Linked DNA regions of Alligator mississippiensis. Each later gene encodes a partner of the first gene's protein in a complex. Links are inferred from orthologs where the notes say so. Each region holds a gene or a part of one and is shown in the gene's direction. Other genes may lie near its edges.

Region 1 (7,200 bases):
CATAGCTCTCTGAATCTTTTCTGAAGATTCGTAGAGCTTTGAATCAATTCAGACCTTTTAATTGGTCCCCTGATTCAGTTTGGATTCAGAGATTCGGCCGCTGAATCAGGCTGAATCTCTTCTGAATTGAATCACCACCCAAAGTTTCACACAGCCCTATTACAGGCACAACAGGGTCTGTTGGCTTCCCTGTGGCGCCCCCCCAAATTGCTGTTAAGCAGAGATCCCTTTCTCCCCTCTCCCATAGCACAGACTGTAGCCAGCATGTGGTATGCTAGCTAATGCTGTGTAAGGCAGATAGGACAGTGTCCACTTAGGGCTTTCTGGAGGTAATCAACAGGTAGCTGGTAGGGACGAGGACCACTTCCCTGGGAAGTTGGCCACCCTAACTGTAAAATATTGTCTTCTGATCTCTAACCTAAACCTATTCTCCATCAGCTTATTACCACTGTTCCTTGTCACTGCAGGTGGTGCTGGGGAGAAAAGGGCTCTGCCTATTTGCTGTTGATCTCCCCTGAGCCGGGTCTCAGTTCTCTTCCCCTGTACTGTGATCAGCTGTAGCCCGGCTGAGGGAGGTAGGGAGAGCCAGGGCTGTGTTCCTCGCCCAGCTGAGCCACATGGGGCTGCGGAGCTGTTGGGAGTCCCTGTCTCCTACCACCTGGCTGCTGGGTGCTTTGAAACTCAAAACGTTTTGAAACTTTTGAAATGTTTCAACTAGCCTCGTTTTCTTTCAAGGCTGTTTCGAAGCCCTTTGTTTCGATTCAATTTAGCTGTTTCGAGCTTGGAATGAGTTGAAACAGTGTTGAATCGAAACAGGCAGCAAAATTTTGCACAGCCCTACTAGCCAGCAGGCAGACCCCATACTGAAGCAACCTTGTGCTTCAGGCAGCTGGGATAGTGTCTGCACATGCACCGCTGCAGAGTAAAAAACTTTGCAGCAAGATAGTACTTATATTTACAAGTGCTACCTTGCTGCAGAGTTAGTTCACTCAAGACTAATAGGGGCACACGTGTAGATGTTCAACATTTACTGTGTAGCTAAGTAGTCTACTCCACCGTAAACATTTTGTGCAGGCAGAGAAGGGAAGCTGCTAGCTCGTGGTGGTGTGGTACAAAAGGCAGCAGACAAGATGATGGGTGCCCCCTTGTCCTTTCCATCCCCTGCCAGGAACTCTCCGCCAATCAGCATCAAGGGGTGGGGTGGCATGAAGTGCTGTCTTAGTCTGTGGTTACTGCTTTTGACTGATGGGATTTTTGTTTTGATTTAAAAGGTTACAACAAAATACTAGAGCTAGTTACAATATTCTGTGCTGAAATTTCTCTCTGTCCTGAAAAATAGATTAATGAATGCTGATTTTCTTCATACAGAAAATGTCTAATCTACCTAAAAATGTTAGCTCTCTTCCTGGAGGAGAAGTAAAAACAATTTCCTTTTATTCTCCAAATATCAACTTTAAATGGTACTTTGTCTCATCTTGATTCAATTCTTCTGGGCAAATGAGTAACTATAGTAGATCTTTTTCAACTGAAAATGTTCAAATGAAAATACTTTGCTCAATTTCTCACAATAAAAACACCAGTTTTATCAACAGCTCTAAAAAACTTGTACTGAACATAGGAGACCGGGGTTTGATTCTCAGTTGTGACACGGAGTTCTTCACTGAATTTTAGCATGTCACCTAATCTTTTTTTTTCTTCCATTCTTCATCTATAAAATGAGAGCAACAGTGCTTTCTTCTTCCCTCAATCTAGCTTGTTCAGACACTTCTTAAAAACATGCTTATTTGGATTTGTATGACAGTTGGCACAAGTAGCTCCTGATGGGAGTATTAGGGCCTTTTGTTTTTACTGTTGACAGTAAATTATGCTTATGCAATGAGGAAGTAGGGGGAAAAAGAGAATAGATCAAGTGAATGACAAATTCAGTTTACTAAATGGTGCAATTCAGTTTATTTGGCCAGTTCTAAGGTGGCTCAGCCAGAGATCTCAAAGCCCTTGAACCAGGGGCGATCTAGATCTATCAGGAATCCATTCGGTCCCATACATGCTGGGAAAAATGCTGTTACAGTAACTGCTGAATTTTGTGGCAGCATCAATTTATTCTTCCATCACAAAACACCTCCATTTCCATTTCCATTACCACTTCCTTCCAGTTTCACACAACTACCTGGGAGTTGAATGTAATTATCACCAGGGCTTCTTTCTCACAAGGATAGGCTACATTCTCCAGATAGCATGGCTCTATTCCAGTTCTCTAGACACTATTCAGGAGTCCTGATGGAGAGCCTGCAATTTACCAGGAAAGAAGAGAGTTTTTATTTATCATCTGGTCACCCCTCCCAATGCCAGCTGAGGATCAGAGCCCCATTCACCAGGCACTCACCAGGAATATAACACCAATCCGACCTAGTAGCCTGGGGTGCTTGTACAGGTGACGGGGGTTTCGTTCTCCCTAAATTGAAACAATGGGTTTTTAATTGTGTCATTTAAAAACCCACCATTTTAATTTAGGGAGAACAAAACCTCAGCCATGTGTACAAGGGTGAGGGGGCCTGATCCTTTTTTTTTCCTGCCTCCTGCGGCGGGGCGGAGGGACGAGCTGCCGGCAACCGGCCAAGCAGTCCTTGAGCTGCAGGGGAACCTGGCCCTTCCCTCCCTTCCCTGCAGGGCGCCCTGCAGGCAGCACCTGCCTGCTAGCACCTGGGGGGTGACGCCACCGTGGAGGGAAGGACCAGGACCCACACATCTTGGGGGTTGTGTGACCCAGCGGTAGCTTATGCAGGCAGGCTCAACTGAAGGGATAAAAAAAAGTGGCAAGGAGCCTGATCTTTTTTTCCCCAGTCTACCTGCCTGAGCTGTGCAGGGCCCCATGCTTCCCTCTGCAGCAGTGGCATCCCATGGGACCACCTGGGTGAGCTGCTAGCAGGCAGGTGCTGCCTGGGCGGTGCTGCCACCATGGAGGGCAGCACCAGATCCCACTCAGCTCAGGCAGGCAGGCTCTTTTTTTTTTTCTCTGTTGGGCTGGGTGCTAGTGGGCAGGGGCCACCTAGAAGATGCTGCTATCATGGAGGGAAGGACTGGAGTCCCCTGCAGCTCAGGGACTGCTTGCCACCCCCTCTCCACCCACTATGGGAGAGGCAAGTAGGCTCCAGCGCCCTGTGTACCATCCCTTCCACCTTCCCGCTGCCTGGGACTTCCCAGGAATGGCTAGCTTGCCCCTGGGGCAGTACAGCAAGGTGGCAGGAGAGTGGCTGGGTGTGCTGGAGGTGGGTGAAGGTGGTGGGATTGGTGCCATGAGGCACTGGAAGCCCAAGCCCAAGTACATTGGCTTCTAGCACCCTGTTGCATTTTGTTCTGTAGCAAACTAAAGTACCTCCAAGGGGTTATTTAAAGCAAAATACACCTCTGAACGTGTAAATAGCAACACCATTAAAGCAGAATACACTGCTGAATATGTAAATAGCAATGCCATTAAAGCGGTGCAAAAGGACAATTAAGCCACTTTAATGGCCAATTTTGTTGCATGTCTGCAGTTTTTGTTCACTGCAGTCTGTGAATAAAACAAGAGTGGGAGTGGGCCGGGGAGCACAAAACACAAGGAGCCTGCGGGAGCTGCCGGTCAGGGCCCGCGGGCTGCGCACGGTGTCAGAAGCCCAAGCAGAAGGCTGTAGCTGGGGTGGGTCCGGCGGGAGGACAGTGGTGCAGCTGCACCCCCCCGACTTCCGATTCCTGCCCCATCCAAACTATGGAACCGACGGCCGGGAGAAGCAGCGGCCTTTCCATTGGGGCAGCGCTGGGGGAGGCAGCTGCCTTCCTGATTCAGCCGAGCCAGCCCATGGGGTTTTGCTCTTCCCCAAAAGGGAGAGTGTTCACGTGCGTGCATCCCTGTCCCGAGCCCTGCAGCAGCGGGAGGGCGAGAGGCCCGCGCGGGCGAGGGTAGCCAGACAGCCCAGTGCGCCCAGCCACCCGCCCGAAGCCCGGCAACGCAGAGTCACGGTGACTCGGCAGAAGGCGCCGCCCTGCGCTGCTCCTTTAAATAGCACCAGCTCCCAGCGCCCCCCGCCCGTGAGGGAAAAGCACGGGGAAAGTGTTGGCCGGTCACGCAAGATCGCAGCACGGGACAAGACTCGCCCCTTCCCGTCCGCTGTGCCTGGAGACCGTCGTGTGCGCGCCGCCGCGCCGTGCTGATAAAGTTCTTGTTGCAAACACTGAATCCGGCGGCGTCGCCCCGGCCCCGCCCCCCACTTCCGGCTCTGCAGCCGCGGAGGAAGGAGGAGGAGGCCGCGGCCCGTTCCCGGCTCGGGCCTCGCGGGGATGGTGTTGGCCGCTGCGGCGGGAGCCGGGACCTGAGGCGGCGGCGGCCAGGTGAGCGCGGCCCGGCCCGCCGTCAGCTGCGCTCCCTTGCTGCTCCGGCTCGGGGCCCCCCCCCACCCCCGCGGTGCTAGCGGGCGGGCCGAGGCGGGGCCGGCGGGAGGCCACAACCCTGGGACCAGCCGGGTCGGGGGCCCCGCGTTGCCCCTCCCGGGGGCTCCCGTCTCTGTTCCGCGCCCCTCCGGCCCCCTCCCTCTCCAGGGCGGCTCTGGGCTCTCGCCTCGCCCCCCCCAGGGACCCCGGGCACTCCCTGCCCCTGGGTCGGGCGCTCGCACAGACCTCCGCTCTGCTTCAGCACCTTGGCAGGCGCCACCAAGGAGGCAGGAGAGCACAAACACTCCTGCCTCTGGTCGGCTTGGTCCAGCAGCTGCCCCCTGCACTGCATCATTTGGCTCACAGGCCCCCCCCCCCCCTGCTTTGGGAACTTGGAGTTGCTGCTCCCCTGCTGCCACACTGGGCTCTTGGGGCTGGCAAGGGGGGCAGGATGCCAGGAGCAGATCCCCACGCGTGGGGCTCAGACCCTATCCAGGTGCAGAGGACCCGGCCCTGTGTCAGGCTTGGTCTGGCTCATGGGTCAGCCCTCATCTGGCCCTTGGGGCCAAAAATCAGAGCACCACTGAGTTAATCCATAAGGTGCATCTCTCCTTTGCCTTCTGCCTGACTTCAGACTAGTGTGGTTACCTATGTATCTTTGCTGGTAGATGTGACTCCTCCCTGTGAGGGGCCTTCTGCTGTGCTCTTGTGCTTTGGTGCAAAGCAGCAGGAGCCAGGTCCACAGTGGTGTTTAGGTGTATAACTCCCATTGAAATTACAGCATTTGGAAGCTGAGCTTTGAAACGAGGGCCTTGTAAGACCAGGCCTACGTGCCCCAGCTTATCTGGTCTTCTATCCCACTCCCCTTAAAAGTAGAACCTCTGCCAAGCTTGTTTCTCTTCCCCCTTTCTGCATTGAAGGAGCACAGCTGCCTGGACTATTTTCTGTCCCTTCCTCTGTTCCAGAGAGGGAACCAGTGAATTTTCATTCTGCCCTGCCTCACTTTGCCTTAATTAAATTTATATTTGCCCTTGGATACATGGCTTTGTCTAGTCTGAGTCAGTAGCCTAATACCAGATGCTGTCTGTCTTGGTGCTTTCAACCTTCTTGCATTTCTTATCAGTACAGCATGCCAGCTGATACTGTGAAAACTGTTTTCCTTTTAAGATGACCTTACTGGTGCACGTCTTTGCCATGTTGTTTTTTGAGTTTTGTTCTGAATATTTTCATTTAATTTTGTATGCTCCTTTACTAAATGCACCAGCACTTTCAGGTTCTTCTCAAGTTAGGCATGTAAATCCCAGTCTGGAACCACATTGCTGCTTTCAGATTTTACAGTGGACTTGGCCAAATTGGCAGGGCTAAAATTTTTTCCCCAGTGGCTTTTTATTTTGTGGTATGAATGAGTGTGATAAGAGGGTGAAAAAGCTGCTGATACAGGGATCTGATAAAGTTCAGTTTTGTGAACTGCTTGCAAGAAAGGAGCATCCATGTGCAGAGTGTTCTACCAGATTCTTCATTTCACGTCTCAGATTGGCCTCCATGGTGTTCCCACTGCATTGATTTATTTATTTATTTTTTGGTTCTGATTACATCACCCTACCTATAAACTCCTCAGTTGGCTTTCTGTTTTCCACTCTAAATTCATACTTCTATGGAATATTTTAAAGGCCATATGTAATTCTGCCTCTTCCTGCTTTTCTGTAGCTTTTTATTCAACTTGACAACTTGTGTAAAGACCCAAGCTGTCCTGGCTTGGGGTTTTTTTTTTCTCCTCTACCTTAATTTAGTTAATTCATATATGGCAGCTTAAGAATGAACCCTCTCCTCCCCTCCAAGAATAGTAAGGCCTCAATGTCTTGGCTTTTCCATTCCTTTTGGTGGCATAACTGCTGGCAAAAAACAATTATCTACAATCAGGTTGTTTTTTTATCAGTGTGTTCTGGCTTTGCTTTTTGGCATTTTCAAGCACTGATCTTTGTATGCTGCCTATTAATGTAATAAATTACTTTATGCAGGGGGGGTTGGATAGTGACTTACTGGGCAACTCTTTCTTAGTTGGTATCAGGGAGGACTGCTATAACAAAATATCACTTCCGTCTTTGAGCCTCTCTTTGAGTACCTGTCTAGGTATTTACTGTGATAATGATAAGGAGCACCTAACAGAGAATGGTATCTCTGTTCACTGTAGATGCTGGTAATTGTCAAAGCTGCCTCAGGACCGGAGATTTTTGTGTTACCTCTTCCTATTCCATGGTATCCCCCTTCCCTGATGTTCTGTGTGGCCAGAACTGTTGGGAGAAAGTTGTTTCTGAATACAGCTTTTGATGTCTGTACCTTGTTCTCTACGGATATGCATGGTCTTTTCATATTTGCAACTTCTTAAAGGTTCTCTGATTGCTTGGATGGGCTCCTTTATTGAAATTCTATAGAAATAACAAGTTCAGGAAGTGGTATGTTTAGCTAAGAAAGAAATAGAAAGAAATTTCCTTGATAGCAGAGTGAAACTTACTGAAATTTCTCTGCTGTAATTGATTCTATGCTAGAACCTGATGCACTGTAAGCCAGTTCACTCCATATTTACACCTGGACTTGTCTCAACCCAACTTTAAATATTCCGTTCGGTGCTTAACCTCATGTCCTAAAACATTAATGGCTTTTATTGGGTGCAGTCATTTGTCGTCTTGCAAAATAACATTTTCTTAGTGGCTTTATCAAGTGGCTTTTACTGCCACTGAGTAGCATGCTATGGATACCACTGAACTCTCATTTATCTGGAACTCAAAATACTTTATG
Region 2 (7,306 bases), on another chromosome or scaffold:
GGTGGGAATTTTGCCATTACAGGAAGGGCTTGCACGACTTAACATTTCACTTGAGTTAAACATTGGCTGACACCTTGATTAGAGACAACTGCATGCAATTCAAACAGCAGTAAATCAACAACTAGATTTTATCAATGGCTTTCCAGAACTATTCACACACATGGAAAAAACCCAAAAACTGATGCTTCATAATCTAGATCAGTAGCTACTATAACAGTCTATTGCAGCTGAACCCCAATAAATAGATGGAGAGTAGGTCATTCTCTAGTGAAGGACAAATGATCCTTTTAAAATTGTTATTCTGATTTGGCCAATATAGGCTGGATCCAGTCTGGATAGCACTCCTGGAGCTGAGCTACGCATTGGGGTCTCCTAGCTAGGGACAGAAATTACACATAAACCAGTATAAATGATCAGAAACCGGTTCAAAGCTGTAACACAACAGAAGTTCAATGCACATAAGCTGCTTTCAGAATGGCTGAAACGGGTTTAAGAAAAACGTCGATGGATGTAGTATCAGACTTAACTGATTTAGGTTAAACTGGTGTATTGACCTTGTCTCGGATTCCAACCAGATTCAAGTTAACTCACAGTCCTCCAACATCCCAGGCAGAGTTGCCAGGTCTTAAAAATGAAGTTATCATAGTGGAAGCTCAAATTATCGTATTTTCTGAAAACTATCATACACTGAAAAATGGTGTGCAAATAAGCATGCAAAAAAGTTTTCTTTTTAGGTGACGTCACGTTGGCTTGTACTGTTATTATCATCACCAGGGATCCAGGTTTTCTATTTCCCACGGGAAAATGGAGAAAACGCAGATTTCTCTTTTTAGCAGAGAAATCCGCTGATTCTTTGCTTCTGCAAAGTGCTCTGGCAGGCTGGTGCAGCTCCAGCCTGCAAGAACTGATTGCAAAAAAGACGGGAAACCCCCAGCCCTGGTCGGAGTGGGAGGGAGAGGGGGAGGGCAGGGCCTGAGTCTCTGAGGCAGCCCTTTGGCTCAGGCTCAGACTTACCCTTCACCCCTGGAGCATGGAGGTAAGTGTGGCTTGGGGCAGGGCTGGGGAAGATGGTTGGGGATTGAGGGCATGGGGGGGTGCTGCCAGCCCCAGGCAGCACACCGCAGCTGGGAGCAGGCCAGGAGGTGAGGGCAGGGGTGTTCCTCTGCAGGGGACTTTGCGGGCAAGCGATGCGGGGCACAGTGTGGTGGTGCCCGCCATGTGTGGGCCGCACGCATGCCGCCTGGCTGCCTGCTCAGGGGAGGGGGAGGCTGGTATGTGGCCGGAGCATAGCTCCACGGCCAGCTCTGCAGCCACAGCGAGGGATGGGGGTGCGGCGGGATGGGGGGAGGCTTGGGCTTGCACATGGCGCTGCTGCTTACCTGGAGGCCTGTGACGGCCGCTGCCTACAAAACCTCCCACTGCTGCTGCGGAGCCATGCCCGGAGGGCCAGCCGCCCAGTGGCAGCGTGGTGGTGGCCAGGCGGCACGCAGCCATCCCCACCACCACCCCGCACTGCACCGCTGCCGTCAGCCACACAGCTCCACGGCAGCAGCGGGAGGTTTTGTAGGCAGCAGCCATCATTGCTGTCACAGGGCTCCAGGTAAGTGACAGCGCCATGTGCGAGCTGAAGCCTCCCCCCTACCCCCATCCCTTGCCATGGCTGCAGAGCCGGCCACGGAGCTGTGCTCCGGCTGAATGCCAGCCTCCCTCTCCCCCTCCCCTGGGCAGGCGGCCAGGCGGCATGTGCGGCCCACACATGGCAGGTACCACCACAATGCACCCCAAGTTGCTTGCCCGCAAAGTCCCCCGCAGAGGGGCACCCCTGCCCTCACCCCCTGGCCCTGCTCCCAGCTGTGGTGTGCTGCCTGGGGCTGGGCAGCACCCCCCACTCCCTCAGCCCCCAACCATCTCCCACAGCCCCCCAAGCCCCATTTACCTCTAGGATCCAGGGGCGAAGGGCATATCTCTGTGGTGGTAGCACTTGACTGCAAAGCCGCCCCCCCCCCCCCGCATGCAGCTGCCACCACTCTGCACTGCTGCGGAGCCGTGCAGCCAGTTGCGGGGCATGCCGCTGCATGCAAGCCCCCTGTTTCACCCCCCGGCCTGCACACGGCGGTTGCCACTGCACTGCCGCTGCCACGTCCTGCGCCCCCTGCCCACAAAGCCATGCAGGTGTCCGTGGGATGGTAGCGCAGGGTGCAGTGGCAGAGTTGCGGTGTTGGCCTCAGTGGGTGAACCTCCTGTCAGGCCTGCCGGCACGTGTGTGGCCCACAGAGTGGCACCCTTGCCCTCACCCCCTGGCCCTGCTCCTGGGAGTGGGCACGGGGGCACACTCCCCACCTTCTTGATCTACCCCCAGCACCTTCCCTTTCTCCTGCCCTGCCCCTTCCCCCCACACACACACACTGCTGGGGTGGGTGTCAGTGTCTGTGTATGCATGTCTGTGGGTCTGGAGGGCTGCTGTGAGGGGTATCAGGAGGGCTGTGGAGACCGTGGTGGGGAGTGCGGGGCACCAGCAGCGCTGGGAGGGGTTGTGGGGGGGACTTTATTTTTTATCACGGATTTTGGGTTTTTAAATCAGAGTATTTGCAATTTTTAATCAGAGAAAATTAGGATCCCTGATCACCACACTTGTGCCACTGTACTTGACACTACCCACTATGATGTTTGAACTCTTTCTATGACTGGTTAAACTGAATGTATTACTATGATTATTCTTTTCTCTTTGTTTTGCAGTTTAGGTCTGTGTATTGTAAATCTTCTACACTTTATTTTGCAACTTACTGTATTGGGTACACGCCTGCAATTTACGAACAAGGCGAGCACAAAACCCCTTTAATTTCCTATTGATTTAAGACTGTATGTAACATTTAAAATAAAGCTCTTAGTATTATCACACATTGAGATTTAGTTATATGGTCGTTATACAGTTACCCACCATAAGTCTCCAGTTAAAGATAAATAGCAAGTATTGCTCATCCTCACTTTAGTCCCTGTCAAATCCCAATTCAAAACCAGTGAGAACTGGGTCATCATCAACCTTGAAGTGTTTCTTTGTTTTGAGGCAAGTGGTTGGAAGAAAGCACGGACAGCGAACCCGAAAGTTCAATAGATTTCATAGATTTGTAGGGTCGGAAGGGAAGATCATCGAGTCCGCCCCCTTGCCCCCGGGTCAGATGACCCCAGCCAGGTACTTGTCCAGTCTCCTCTTAAAGCCCCCCGGGGTAGGGGAGAGCACCGCCTCCCTTGGGAGCACGTTCCACACTCTGGTAACCCAGACTCTTAAGCTGGTTAAGACCCCCTGAGAGTGACCCGGGTTTTGCACATGCTGCCTCAATTAACTGCCTCAATTGTGATAGACTTTTGAACATTTTTAGTATTATCTGTCTTACAAGGGTTGAAAGTATTGTACAAATACGATAATTACGCTACATCTGGCAACACTGACCCCAGCATACCTTGCAAGCCAGTTCCCCGTCTCAGGGTGGGCAGGCTCAGCGCGGTCTGCTCCCGGGCGGTGCGCTGCAGTGCCCCCCCGCCCCCGCCCGGCCACTGCAGGCGTTCCCAGAGTCAACAGTTAACGTCTGTTCAGTTGCTTATCGGTGCCGCGTACACAGTCTAAGTTGTGCAGACTGAATCGATTCCGCCTCGGGCTTGTTACTGCTTGTACTTGGCGGAGGGCCGGGACCCGGTAGCAGAGCACGAACCCACTTACGTGTTGCAGGGCAGGGGCGGTGTTTTGTTTCGGACAGGGTCACAGGAAAAGGCCACGTGGATTTCACTTTGGTTCAGTCTAAACACGGCAAGTCGGTGTCTCCACGGTTGTCTGCCCGCCGCCCCCCATGGCTTTTCGTGCCGTGAGCGGGGAGCTACAAGCAGACCCAACCGAGCCCGACCGTGGGGGCCTGGCGACGTCGAGCGCCCACTCTGCGCATGTCCAGCCCCACGCGCCAGATGCCCGGGCAGCCTAGCGAAAGGCTCTCCCGGGCGGGCCGCTACCAACGTGCGCGGATGGGGAGGGGGAGTGTTCCCGCGCGTCCCCCCCATCTCTCATTTTGCCCTTTCTCACTGCTGCTCAGCACCCACTGGGTGTCTCTCCTTCCCTTCTCCCACTTTACCTCCAGGATCAAGCGCGATGTAACCCTCTTTCACGTTCCCCCCCTTCCTTGAGCAGTGGTTCGGCCCGGCCAAGCCCGGTTCCCCCTACCACAGCCGGCGGTGGTTGTCTGCCCTTTTCCTGCCCTCGCTGTACGTGTGGCGTCAGGGACGTCTGCACGCTCCCCGGCGTCACACCGCCGCGCGCCGCCAGCTGACTCCTCATCCCCGGAAGTGATGCAGAGGCAGGGAGGGAGGGGGGAAGGCAAGCTGGAGTATCGCTGGGAGCCGCGGAGGGTGAGTGAATTGGACCGTGTCTCTTCCCGTCCGCTTCAGGGGGCGCTGCCTGTGGGGGGCCGGGCCGGGAGGCGCCCCGACCCCGGGGGCCTGAGGCACCGGAGTCGTCCTGGAGAGCCCGGCCCGGGCGCTCGAGTAGCTTGTGCGTGTGTGGAGGAGCCGGGGCGGGGGTGGAGGGGAGATCTCCCGTTAGGGCCCGGGGCGCTGTCCCCCCTCGGGGCCGGGGCCGCCCGCCCTGCGACCCCGCACGGCCCCCTTCTCTCTGGCGCCCCCGGCTGCACCCCCTCCTCCCCCACGCTCCCCGACCCCGGAGGGCGCCTACCCCAGAGCTGCTGCCAGGGCCCCGGGGGGTGATGCGGTCCCCGCCGGGGTGCCCCGTGCCGGCCTGGCCTCGTCAGGATCCCTCGGGGGTCCTGGCGCGGGCTCTGCTCTCCTGGCTGCCAGGATCCCCGCGCGTGTCCGTGCCCCTCGTGTCCCTCGCTCGCGCCCGGGGCGTGAAGTTGCTGCTTGTCCTCAAACTTGCTTCTGTGGCCGCCAGCGCTGTGGGCTCCCTTCCCGGCCTGCGAGGGCTTTAATGGGAGCCTCGGGGTGCACCCCCACCCCATCTTGTGGGCTTACGGACCTGGCTGAGAGCGCGGCCGGACTAGGCATTTGTAGTAAGTGCAGCACCGTGCCTAGACTCCTGGCGGCTCTGGGCAAATTTTTAGTATTGGGCTCCCCTTTGCCACAGATAATAATGATGATAATGATTATTTTCACCACTTTCAAGCCTCCCTTCTGTCTGGGCCCTGGGCAGCTGCCCGGTTTGCTGATGCCTGTGTCTGGCCTTGAGTAAATGTTTCTTGGGAAGCACGTTTCTTTCCTGCTGCGGCTGTGAGAGGGCAGGGTAGGGTGGGAGGCTGAGTCTTGTCGTATAGCTGAGCCTCCTGATGCTCTGGACACAATGCTCGTGCCCTGGATTTCCATGGGGAGCCACTTCTTCCCCAATACTTGTTTAAATCATTCCTTCTTTAAGTTGCGGTGGGAGTGCAGGCTTATGTATTTATTTATTTTATAATCTTGATAGTTTGTTTCTGAATATCAAGTTCCGATACTCCACACTTGTCTTGCAGAAGAACTTCACGCTATGCCACTGTTGTGTTTTCTGAGGAGTCCCGAAAGACTTGTGATCGATCTTTCAGTGTCAGTTTCATTCTGTCTTCCTTATTCATTCCCCAAGTTTGGGGAGAAAAAATTGCTAAGCACAAGCTGAAGGTATCTTGTCTAATGCAGGCTTCCCATATTTGACTGAGAACCTTCCCGTATCTAATTAAGTTAATAAGTGACCACTAGGTTTTTGGTATTGGATTTTGGGCTAGCTGTGAAAAGAAACAATCTTTTGTGTGTTTTTGATTCTACATTGTCATAAAGTCTTTGCTGCAGCCTTTCTGCTTGTTTTCCAGGTGCTACTGTGAGGTGCTTATTGGGAGAGGAAGGAAGGTCTTTTGACTAAAATGAAGACTGGGAACCATGAGACAGGTTCTGTTCTTGGCTCTACCTTGCTTTGCCTCATCTTAAATGGACAGTTACTTATTTCACAGGGTGTTTAATTGTCTGTGAAGAGCTTTTACAGCTCCCTAAACAAAAGACAACTTGAGGTTTGAAACAAAGTATTTTCATAGGTGAGAGGAAGGTGTAGAAAAGCAGATTGTTAGATCCTTGTTGACAAAGTACATTTAATTCTGGTTAGAAACTTGTGAAGAAGTTCAGTTGAAGTCTTCTAAATTCTAATAATTTCATGGCAGTTAGTGCTGCTATAGAATTTGCTGTCCATAAATCTATTTAAAGATTACTACATCATTAAGAGTGTACTTACAGCCCTAATATTCTTTGACAGCTCAGCTTGATGTTCTGGTAATCCATTTTATCTTGAGACCTGATAAACCTTCAATATCATCTGTAATTTGCCTGTAGATCTCAGGAACTGCATCTGGTGACTTTCATAGTAGTTACTTAATTTGTCTCCTATTCCATGCTGTCTTGCTTTAAAGAGCTTGGGAGGTGGATGGGTGTGTGTGAGTAACTTTTGGTGTTATCAATTGCATCTTGCCGACTGTGGCACTGAGCATTTAAACGTAAAGGACAGTAACAAGATCAATAGGAGAACTAGAGGGTAGACTTGACCATGTGGTGTAAAGCAGCTACTTCTGTAAACGGAGGGGGAAAATAGCTTCCTTAAAGAGGGAGTGTTCCAGGGAGAGAGGCTGTCAGACTATCTCACTGGCCTGTAATACAAAGGGACACAGAATGACCTCTGGTGTATGCATCAGTGATGATGAAAAAAGGAGATCTCCCTTGTGTGTCCACGGGAAAGATAGACCTCAGTCCTGCACAATGTGTTCTGTGTGTTGGGATGGGAGGGGAATAAGGGAGAGATGGGAATGTTCTTGGCTTTTATTTTGTAGATGAAAATGATTCAGCCCTTCCTGGCTGTGAGGAGAGCCAGGTGTGAATTTGGTGTACGTTGCTTTTTTCTCATATCTGCAAATGCTATCAAGATGCCTGCTGCCCCTCAGAGCTATCCCAAACTGCTGTAGTCTGGGTGGTTTTTCTGCTGCTGGTGGGAGGTATTGGGTGGTTTTTCTGCTGCTGGTGGGAGGTATTGGGTGGTTTCATTACCGTAGTTGCGAGCCTTGTGGTAGTAGTGAAACTGAAGGTCACTTTCATTCTGGTGCTGCTTGTCAGAGGTGCAAATAGAAAAGGTGTTCAGTTAGTTGCTTGCTTACTGCTACTGCATCCTATAGAGATGCACTTTTGTTGGCTAGGTAAAAGACCAAAGGCAGAAAGAAGCTGAAGGTTTAAGAGAATAGGGGACATTTTACCTGTTCCCAAGATTTAAGCTGAAGATCAGTCCAACGATACTATTTGGAGTTCT
Region 3 (7,418 bases), on another chromosome or scaffold:
AGTGGGCGCAATCTTGCCATAAATGCAGTGAAGCCGTAAGAGCGGCCCTAATGTAACACCGCTGATCAGCCACCACTTAAGGCCCAAGACCACAAAAGGGTTTAATTGGACTATGGTGGGTTTCAACTCCCTAATTCCTAAATTAAGACCCTCAACCCGTCAACTCAGCTGCTGCTTAATCCTCGACAGGCCCAAACTCCTATAGGTGCTTCACTTTTAATCAGTTCACATTGCACTTCTGTGCACGTGCAAAGCACCAGGACTGAACGGGTCCATGCCTAGCTCAGGCTTAGGGCTCATCATGACCCATAAACAAGGTGTTCCTCTGCCTGAAGGTCTGGATCGGGGAGGTTTCTCAGAGCTCACCTCGCAGCTCGTGCAGTGTACAAAATGCTACTTAAAAAAAAAAACCCCACAGCTAGAGACAGGGCTGCCGGCACTCCCCTCTGATCGGTGATTTCAGTACTCACATAGGGAGGACATCCAGATTTTACACTCTCTTCTGTCTGGGGAGATTCAAAGAAGAGGGGAGTTCTGAGTTCCAGATCCTGCTTCAAGCACTGTTATGTTGTCTACCAGGAGTAAAATTACATTTGAAAAATAACTAAAATATGAACTGCAATTAAAAAACAATACTCTGGGTTTAAAAGTGAGGTTTAAATAGCACTTTATTACATGTCTGCAAACAACCGGTGCCCACAAAAAGGTCTGTTTTGACAGTTGACTCCACATATTTGATCTCTTCTTATAGAGGTATTTGATTGCAGTTCTGATTTCACTCTTCTCCATTTTTCAGCTTTCCAGTTACAAACATGTCAAATATACTAACAATGAAACACACCAAAATCTCCATACGTTGATCTTTGATATGTTGGGCCCTAGCGTTTCATTAAGCTGGCAGGACTAGATACTTCTCAAATGCCGCTTGAGAAACAATCCATCCTGGAGAGTTCCAGCTGGTTTCACTTCAGAGATTGCAGCTGGGTGTATGCTTCCAAGCTTTGCCACTGGTTGGTAGGAGTGTGAAAAACTGTCTCCAACATCCATAGCTGTATTGGCAAAAGCTCTAGTGCAAGAAGAGTTAAGCTGGTTAAAAAAAAAGCCCTTTTACTGTGTCATACTGAATGTAATATTTGAATGTTTGTAATAGTTGCCCATTAGCCAGTTTAGGAAGAAGACAAGATTCATCTTCTTATCTAGGCCATTGTTTTGGTCCACGTGCGGAAGGTCCTGACTTTGCTCAAAGTCTTAACTCTTGAATTTTGTCTTTAGAGGTCTTTAACAAAGTTAACCTAAAAATAACCCTTAAGCAAACATCCCACATTCCGAGAAATCAAACCCTAGGAGCCTTTTAAAAGGTTGGAAAGAAAGGAAATTCCCCGAAGTAATTAAAATTATCAACAAAAGAAACTGATTACCAAGCAAAAGAATCTGTAAAGTAAGATCCGAGCCCATATTTGGGAGTAGTGACAGGTTTGGGTAGGAAGGGCCCAAGATGGCAACTCACTCAATAAAAACTGTAACCTGCTGTCCCATTTTGGAGGTAACCTCACTTGCAGAACAACAAAGGAAGAATTGCAAGTGTAGGCCAGATCAGACCGATCACCTGAACCACCCTCTCCGTGAACACGAATCTCTTAGTTCACGCTGACACTGCGGAGCGCTCGAAAGGGACTGAAGGAAGGGGACTTAGTCCTATCAGTATTGAGGCCAGCCCATTGAACCGTATTACTGAGGCCAGCCCATTAAATTGTACTACTGAGGAATGGAACCATATTTAGGTGTTAGGCTTCTCGGAATTCTAGGATTGTAAGTATATTATGAAAAATAATAGTATTGATTCAAATTTAACTTTGAGTTGTAATCGTAGTTGTTTTTGTAATACTAGTTCTTATAGCATTGTTTGGGAAAGAAGTGCATTTGGAGCATTGTTTCTGATCTATGTAGTTATTGTGTTCTTAATGTTTGTGGTGTTTCTTAAAGCTAAGCAGTGTTATATGTGTAGCAAAGAATTTTAAAATAAAATTGTGTTGTATGAATTAAGAGTGTAATCATTGTGAAATCGTGCAAGTAGCTAAATACTCCCCCAGCCAGTGCATCAAACGAATCAGTAAATTGTGTGGGATTTTCTCTATTCCATAACCCACTAGAGACATACTGCTGAAACTTCTGTTGAGGGGCTGGTTGTATAAATTATACTGGCAACTATGAGCTATGCCGGAGGGTTTGCCATTATTATCGCTCTATCTGCAAAGCTTTTCCAGTTTAGTCAAGGTCTTGGCAGCTAGCTGCTGCATCTCCCCACCCTGCTCCACCCACAAGGCTGGTTCCTCTCCTACTTGCATGAAGAAATGCTGGTAGTATAATTGATATGCAGGGTATGCATCTGTGCCAGTCACAAAGCCAGTTACTGGTAGCACTGATAACATGAAAAATACTTGTGAACAATTGTAAATGGCTCGTGCCTGCCATATGGCTGGATGACAATTGCTTCGTAAATTAATATGCAAAAGGCTGACACTTCTCTCTCGCTGGGTGAGGCTGTCAGGGGGCAAAGTGCACCCGACATGTCTGGTGTCTGCGGGAGGGCACGCCTATTTGTGTTCCTGCCAGTGTCTACGGTAGCAGCTCACAACCTTTTTATAGGTGTGAGGTACCCCTTATTAAACTTGTGCCCTGCCTTAGAAAATGCCAGCTCTTAATCTGCACTCGTTTTTTGATCACGGAAAAATATCCAAAACGTTTTTCTGCTGCAAAGAACACAGGAAGACCACAATTTTTTGACACTGTGAATACCTATGGGAAAATCTCCTGGTTTATCTCGTGAATCATGTTTGCATGCATCGAGGGGCTCACATTGGGGGGTACCCGGCAGCACCCTTCAAAGGCTCTCAAAGCACCCCAAGGAGCCGCAGCACTCTGCTTGGGAATCCCTGCTCTGAGGAAGCTTCCTCCTTCCTCCAGCGCTCGTCAGTGTCTGTTTTCCATTATTCTTCTGCTTCCTGTACAGGCAGTTCCCAGATTTAGGACACAATTGGTTCCTGAGAACCACATTTTAAATCGAAACGTTGCAACTCAGAACTGATTTTCCCATAGGAAACAATGTTATAAACGGGGGGATTGGTTCCTGAATGGAAACCTGATACCCTATTTTCACCAAAAATGACCAGGAATTTTGAACTCCATCAATTATAGATGAGTAATATAGCTACATCAGTGTATTTATATTGTAAATAGTAATCATATTGATTTGGAAGGACTTCTTTGAGGTGACTTTGCTGGACTTTTTGAAAGGCTCTTGGTTGGATTTTTTGAAGGGTTCTTGGCTGGAGTCTTCTCAGGAGTCCTGTCTGCTTTCTTAAAGTGTCCAAGGAAGTTCGGACAGATGTTCTCCAGGGAGATGGGCGATATAATGTGGTGCAGCGTCAGAGCAAACGTCACCAAGTCACAACCGACATCACAAAGTTGAAACAGGGACGTGGTAAGTGCAAAACACCATAAATCAAAATGTTGTCAGTGGAGGACTGCCTGTATTCTGTAGGATTTGTAGCATTCTACGCTCCAGATTATGGGTCGTGCGCTCCAGATGATGGGTCCTACACTCCAGATTATGGGTCCTACACTCCAGATTATGGGTCGTACGCTCCAGATTATGGGTTCTACACTCCAGATTATGGGTCCTACACTCCATATTATGGGTCCTACGCTCCAGATTGTGGGTCCTACGATACATATTATGGGTCGTACGCTCCAGATTATGGGTCGTACGCTCCAGATTATGGGTCGTACACTCCATATTATAGGTTGTACACTTCATATTATGGGTCGTACACTCCAGATTATGGGTCGTACACTCCAGATTATGGGTCGTACAATCCAGATTATGGTTCCTACGACCCAGATTATGGTTCCTACACTCCATATTATGGGTCCTACACTCCATTATGGGTCATACATTCCAGATTATGGTCCCTACGATCCATATTATGGGCCGTACGCTCCAGATGCTGGGCCGTACGATCCAGATTATGGGTCCCACACTCCAGATTATGGGTCCTACACTCCATATTATGGGTCGTACGCTCCAGATGATGAGTCCTACACTCCAGAGCAGTGGTGCTCAACCTTTTTTTGTGCTGGGACTGTATGCTGTAGGCGATGGGCCCTACGCACTCCGCGGGCCCTGCGCTGTGCATTGCAAGGCTCCACGCTCTGCGCGCCGCACTAGGGACCAGGCTCCGCGCACGCGCCTGCCCCCTGCCTGCCCTGAAGGGGTACTGCTCTGCGGCGCCTGCGCACTGCTCTGCGACGCCTGCTCACAGCGGCTGTGACGTGACCCTGTTGCTAAGGCGATTGGCGGACCCCCCCAGTCAGCCCGCCCCACCCACCCCCGAGCGGGCCTCTCTGTCCTCCGTAGACTCGATGCTCCGAGGTGGCGCTCTACCCGCGCGGCGCCCGGCGAGTGCGGAGAGCGGGAGCAATGGCGGATGGCGCGGAGCCGTAAGTACCGGGCGGGCCCGTCCCCCGCTCCCCGGCCGGGTGGGCCCCGGGCTCTGCAGCGCGGGACTGACCCTTCTTTTATTCTCTCTCTTTTTAGGGAGAAGAAAAGAAGGAGGATAGAGGAGCTGCTGGCGGATGGGTTAGTGCGGGGCTGCGGGCCGGGCAGCAGAGCAGAGCCGGGGAGGCCGGGCTGAGGGGCTGGGGCAGGCCGGGGGGGGAGGGGGGAGCAGCGTTGCCAGGTGCACGGGATGGGACACACACACACACACACACACACAGAGCACGAAAATGAGTGGTGCATTTATGATGCAAAACCCAGGGGGCCCCGAAACGCATCCTGGCCCCGCTCCCCCGCCACTGGCTGCGAGACCTACCCAGGGGATAAAAAGCAGGCCGGGCGGCATCGTTTATTTAATTTAATTATTTTTTTTTGCAGCGTGGGATCGTTTCTTTCGTGCGGAGCTTGGTGTCCTCTTTAGGGACCCGGCAGGGCTGCGGGGCAGGGTGGCGGCAGCAGCGGGGAGACGGGGCAGGGCAGGGCGGTGGGGTCCGGGATGTGTTGGGGGGTAGAGGAGGTGGGTCTTGTGGGGGGGCTGTGCCCGGGGGGGGTAGAGGAGGTGGGTTTCGGGGGGCGGGTCTGGGCTGTGTTGAGGGTAGAGGAGGTGGGCTATGGAGGGGTAGGGCAGCTGTATTAGGTTGGGGGGCTCTTGGCAGCTGAAGCTGGGGGGCAGGGCAGGTGGGTCTGAGGAGGGCTATGGGGGCAGCTATATCAAGGTTAGAGCGGGGTGGGGGGGGAGAGAGTTAGCAGCTGGAGCTGGTTTCAGGTCGGGGCAGGGGGGCAGGGCAGGTGGGTTACAACTGCCCCCACCCCCAAGCCCTGACCTGACACTGTTGCCCCAGATACAGCTGCCCCGACCCCCTTAGCCCTGATGTATCTGGGGCTACGGCAGGTGGGTCAGAGCAGGGGTTGGGAGCAGGGCCGGGGCTGAGCAGGGAAGCAGCTTGCAGGTGGCTCTGGGGTAGGCAGGGCTGCAGGAGCGGGTGCCACTTGGTTCCTGGAGGCTGGGGAAGCTGCTGCTGGGCAGCATGGGAGCTAAATGTAGCTTGAGCAGCTGGGGCTGGGGAAGGGCTCACCTTGAGGGGGGCGCTGGGGCTTGGCGTGAGTGCAGGCTGGCAGTGCTGGGGAGCTCAGACAGGAGCAGGAGAGGCTGGGTAGGGGAAGGTATGCAAGTTAGGAGCAGCTTGCTGTTTGGCTTGTGAGCTTTAGGCTACAGAAGAGCTCCTGCTTATTCAACTCTGTATTCTGTGCACCTAACCTAGCTCCCCCCAAAAGCCAGTGTGGGAACCCCTGCCCCCTTCCACCTGCTTGTGACCCCCCTCCCCAAAGGGAAGGGGGCGGCAGGGAGATCCACAGATAGTGAGTGCATGGGCCTGTGCAGGGTGCCCTGGGGGTCACAAGTGCCCTTGGGCATGTTGCATTGTGTGGGTGCATGCTGGTGACAGACCCTCAAAAGCATGAGCTTTGGGAACAGGGAAGGAAAGAGTGCAAGGGTGTGAGCCAATGCAAAAACTGTGATAATTGAAAGCAGCTTTCGGTTGCACACCTTGTAAAATTTTGACTGGAGCTCTTACATGCAAGAGACTTGTTAATGCCCTAATATTGCAATAGTGAAAACTTTACAAACCCCCTTGAAAGCAAATTTTTAAGTCACAAATCAAATGACTGAGAGTTGACCTACCTTTAAAATGTTTAGCTCTTCCTGAGACTAAACTGAATTAAAATCACAAATTGGAACCAAATGTTACTACCCAAGTTTAATGCTAAAATAAGAGACATGCACCCTTCAGAGCTAGGCAGTGGCTGTATTCACTGACACTACACAAGAAAGAGAAAAGTAATTTTTAATGCCACTGAGCACAGGTATGCACTCATTTCCAACAGAGATTTCAAACTATAGATGACAGAATACAGATTGAAGTTTATGGTTCAAATAAAAACAAGTTAAGAATATTTCTGAACTGTAACTTGCATGTGTGGAGAACCAATTGCAAGATTCAGTGTGAACTAAGAGAGACTGCTGTAGTACGCTCTTTATAAATTAATAACTAGAGTAGCTCAACTAAAGTTAGAAGCCAGCCAAGGGTGATTTTGGCAGCCTGTCAAAATGTTACCTAGATGTGAAATATTGGAACATTTCTTTCCTGCAAGTTGTTATTTCCTAATTACTCTTTTTTTTATATATAAAGTTATGCTTTGTACATGAATTAAAACCACGTTGGACTGATCCTATTGTCCATCTTTTAAATTTTAGGTAGAAAGAAAAGGCTGCACACCATCTTGCACCATTTAATTTTGTTGTGAGGGCAAAGATGGTAAATCCGCACCATTATTGAACCAAGCTCTCAATATGTATGAGAAATATGAGGAACGCTTGTAGTAAGAAAAAAAATGCATTCTTTATTTATGACAAGGTTGAGCATGCATGCTCAAACTGACAAAGCTATTTTATAATTTGTACAGAATCCTAGTAACACGGAGCAGTAATTATATAATTGAATTAGATTTAAAAATGGGAAATGTGCTGTTTTGGGGCAGGACTTCATTACTCTTATGTAGACTGGTTTAGAGGAAGCATTACAATCTGGAGATTTAAAATTAAAAAAGGAAGCTGAAATGAAAATGTTGGTTCTGAAGTATTCCAGTAAGGAATTTTGAAATGTATTGAGATCAGTTTATCTTACCATTCTAAATTTCTGAAAACCTGAGCATCAAAATATGGGGGAAATGCTATACTCTAAATATCTTGATTTAAAAATATAAATACTTCAGAAATTCAGATTTTCTATCTTGGAAAATGTTGTGGGTAACAAGCCAATGGGCTAATTAAAATGACACCTGGTTAATTAAGGAACTTTTA

What was found.
Region 2: the proteins of UBE2F (region 1) and DCUN1D3 are in contact, whole or in part, in a crystal structure (PDB 4GBA), measured with the Homo sapiens proteins. The link is inferred for Alligator mississippiensis from reciprocal best matches to the Homo sapiens genes UBE2F and DCUN1D3. Residues at the interface, in NP_001265234.1 of Homo sapiens: Leu2, Thr3, Leu4, Lys7, Leu8; in NP_775746.1 of Homo sapiens: Glu108, Glu109, Glu112, Pro122, Thr123, Glu124, Met139, Cys140, Glu194, Ile204, Ala207, Leu208.
Region 3: the proteins of UBE2F (region 1) and UBA3 are in contact, whole or in part, in a crystal structure (PDB 3FN1), measured with the Homo sapiens proteins. The link is inferred for Alligator mississippiensis from reciprocal best matches to the Homo sapiens genes UBE2F and UBA3. Residues at the interface, in NP_001265234.1 of Homo sapiens: Thr27, Arg28, Arg29, Val30, Asp34, Lys35, Val38, Lys39, Val41, Ala42, Glu45, Val54, His55, Phe56, Pro57, Asp58, Pro59, Asn60, Leu62; in NP_003959.3 of Homo sapiens: Ala401, Thr403, Thr405, Leu406, Glu407, Gly408, Asn410, Arg411, Thr412, Ser417, Val418, Thr419, Ser420, Ile421, Arg424, Thr425, Gln442, Glu443, Ala445, Ala447, Asp448, Val449, Thr451, Pro452, Gln453, Thr454, Leu456.

The regions. Positions count from the first base shown.
Region 1 is NC_081827.1:187,282,697-187,289,896, reverse strand, and holds the start of UBE2F (NEDD8-conjugating enzyme UBE2F), read left to right. Parts: upstream 1-4,198; 5' UTR 4,199-4,365; intron 4,366-7,200. UniProt on the Homo sapiens protein: Accepts the ubiquitin-like protein NEDD8 from the UBA3-NAE1 E1 complex and catalyzes its covalent attachment to other proteins. Together with the E3 ubiquitin ligase RNF7/RBX2, specifically neddylates cullin-5 (CUL5).
Region 2 is NC_081836.1:46,087,513-46,094,818, reverse strand, and holds the start of DCUN1D3 (DCN1-like protein 3), read left to right. Parts: upstream 1-4,302; 5' UTR 4,303-4,392; intron 4,393-4,436; exon of another isoform or gene 4,437-4,534; intron 4,535-5,453; exon of another isoform or gene 5,454-5,910; intron 5,911-7,306. UniProt on the Homo sapiens protein: Contributes to the neddylation of all cullins by transferring NEDD8 from N-terminally acetylated NEDD8-conjugating E2s enzyme to different cullin C-terminal domain-RBX complexes and may play a role in the cell cycle progression by regulating the SCF ubiquitin E3 ligase complex, after UV damage.
Region 3 is NC_081835.1:6,056,479-6,063,896, reverse strand, and holds the start of UBA3 (NEDD8-activating enzyme E1 catalytic subunit), read left to right. Parts: upstream 1-4,414; 5' UTR 4,415-4,480; coding exon 4,481-4,500; intron 4,501-4,597; coding exon 4,598-4,639; intron 4,640-7,418. UniProt on the Homo sapiens protein: Catalytic subunit of the dimeric UBA3-NAE1 E1 enzyme. E1 activates NEDD8 by first adenylating its C-terminal glycine residue with ATP, thereafter linking this residue to the side chain of the catalytic cysteine, yielding a NEDD8-UBA3 thioester and free AMP.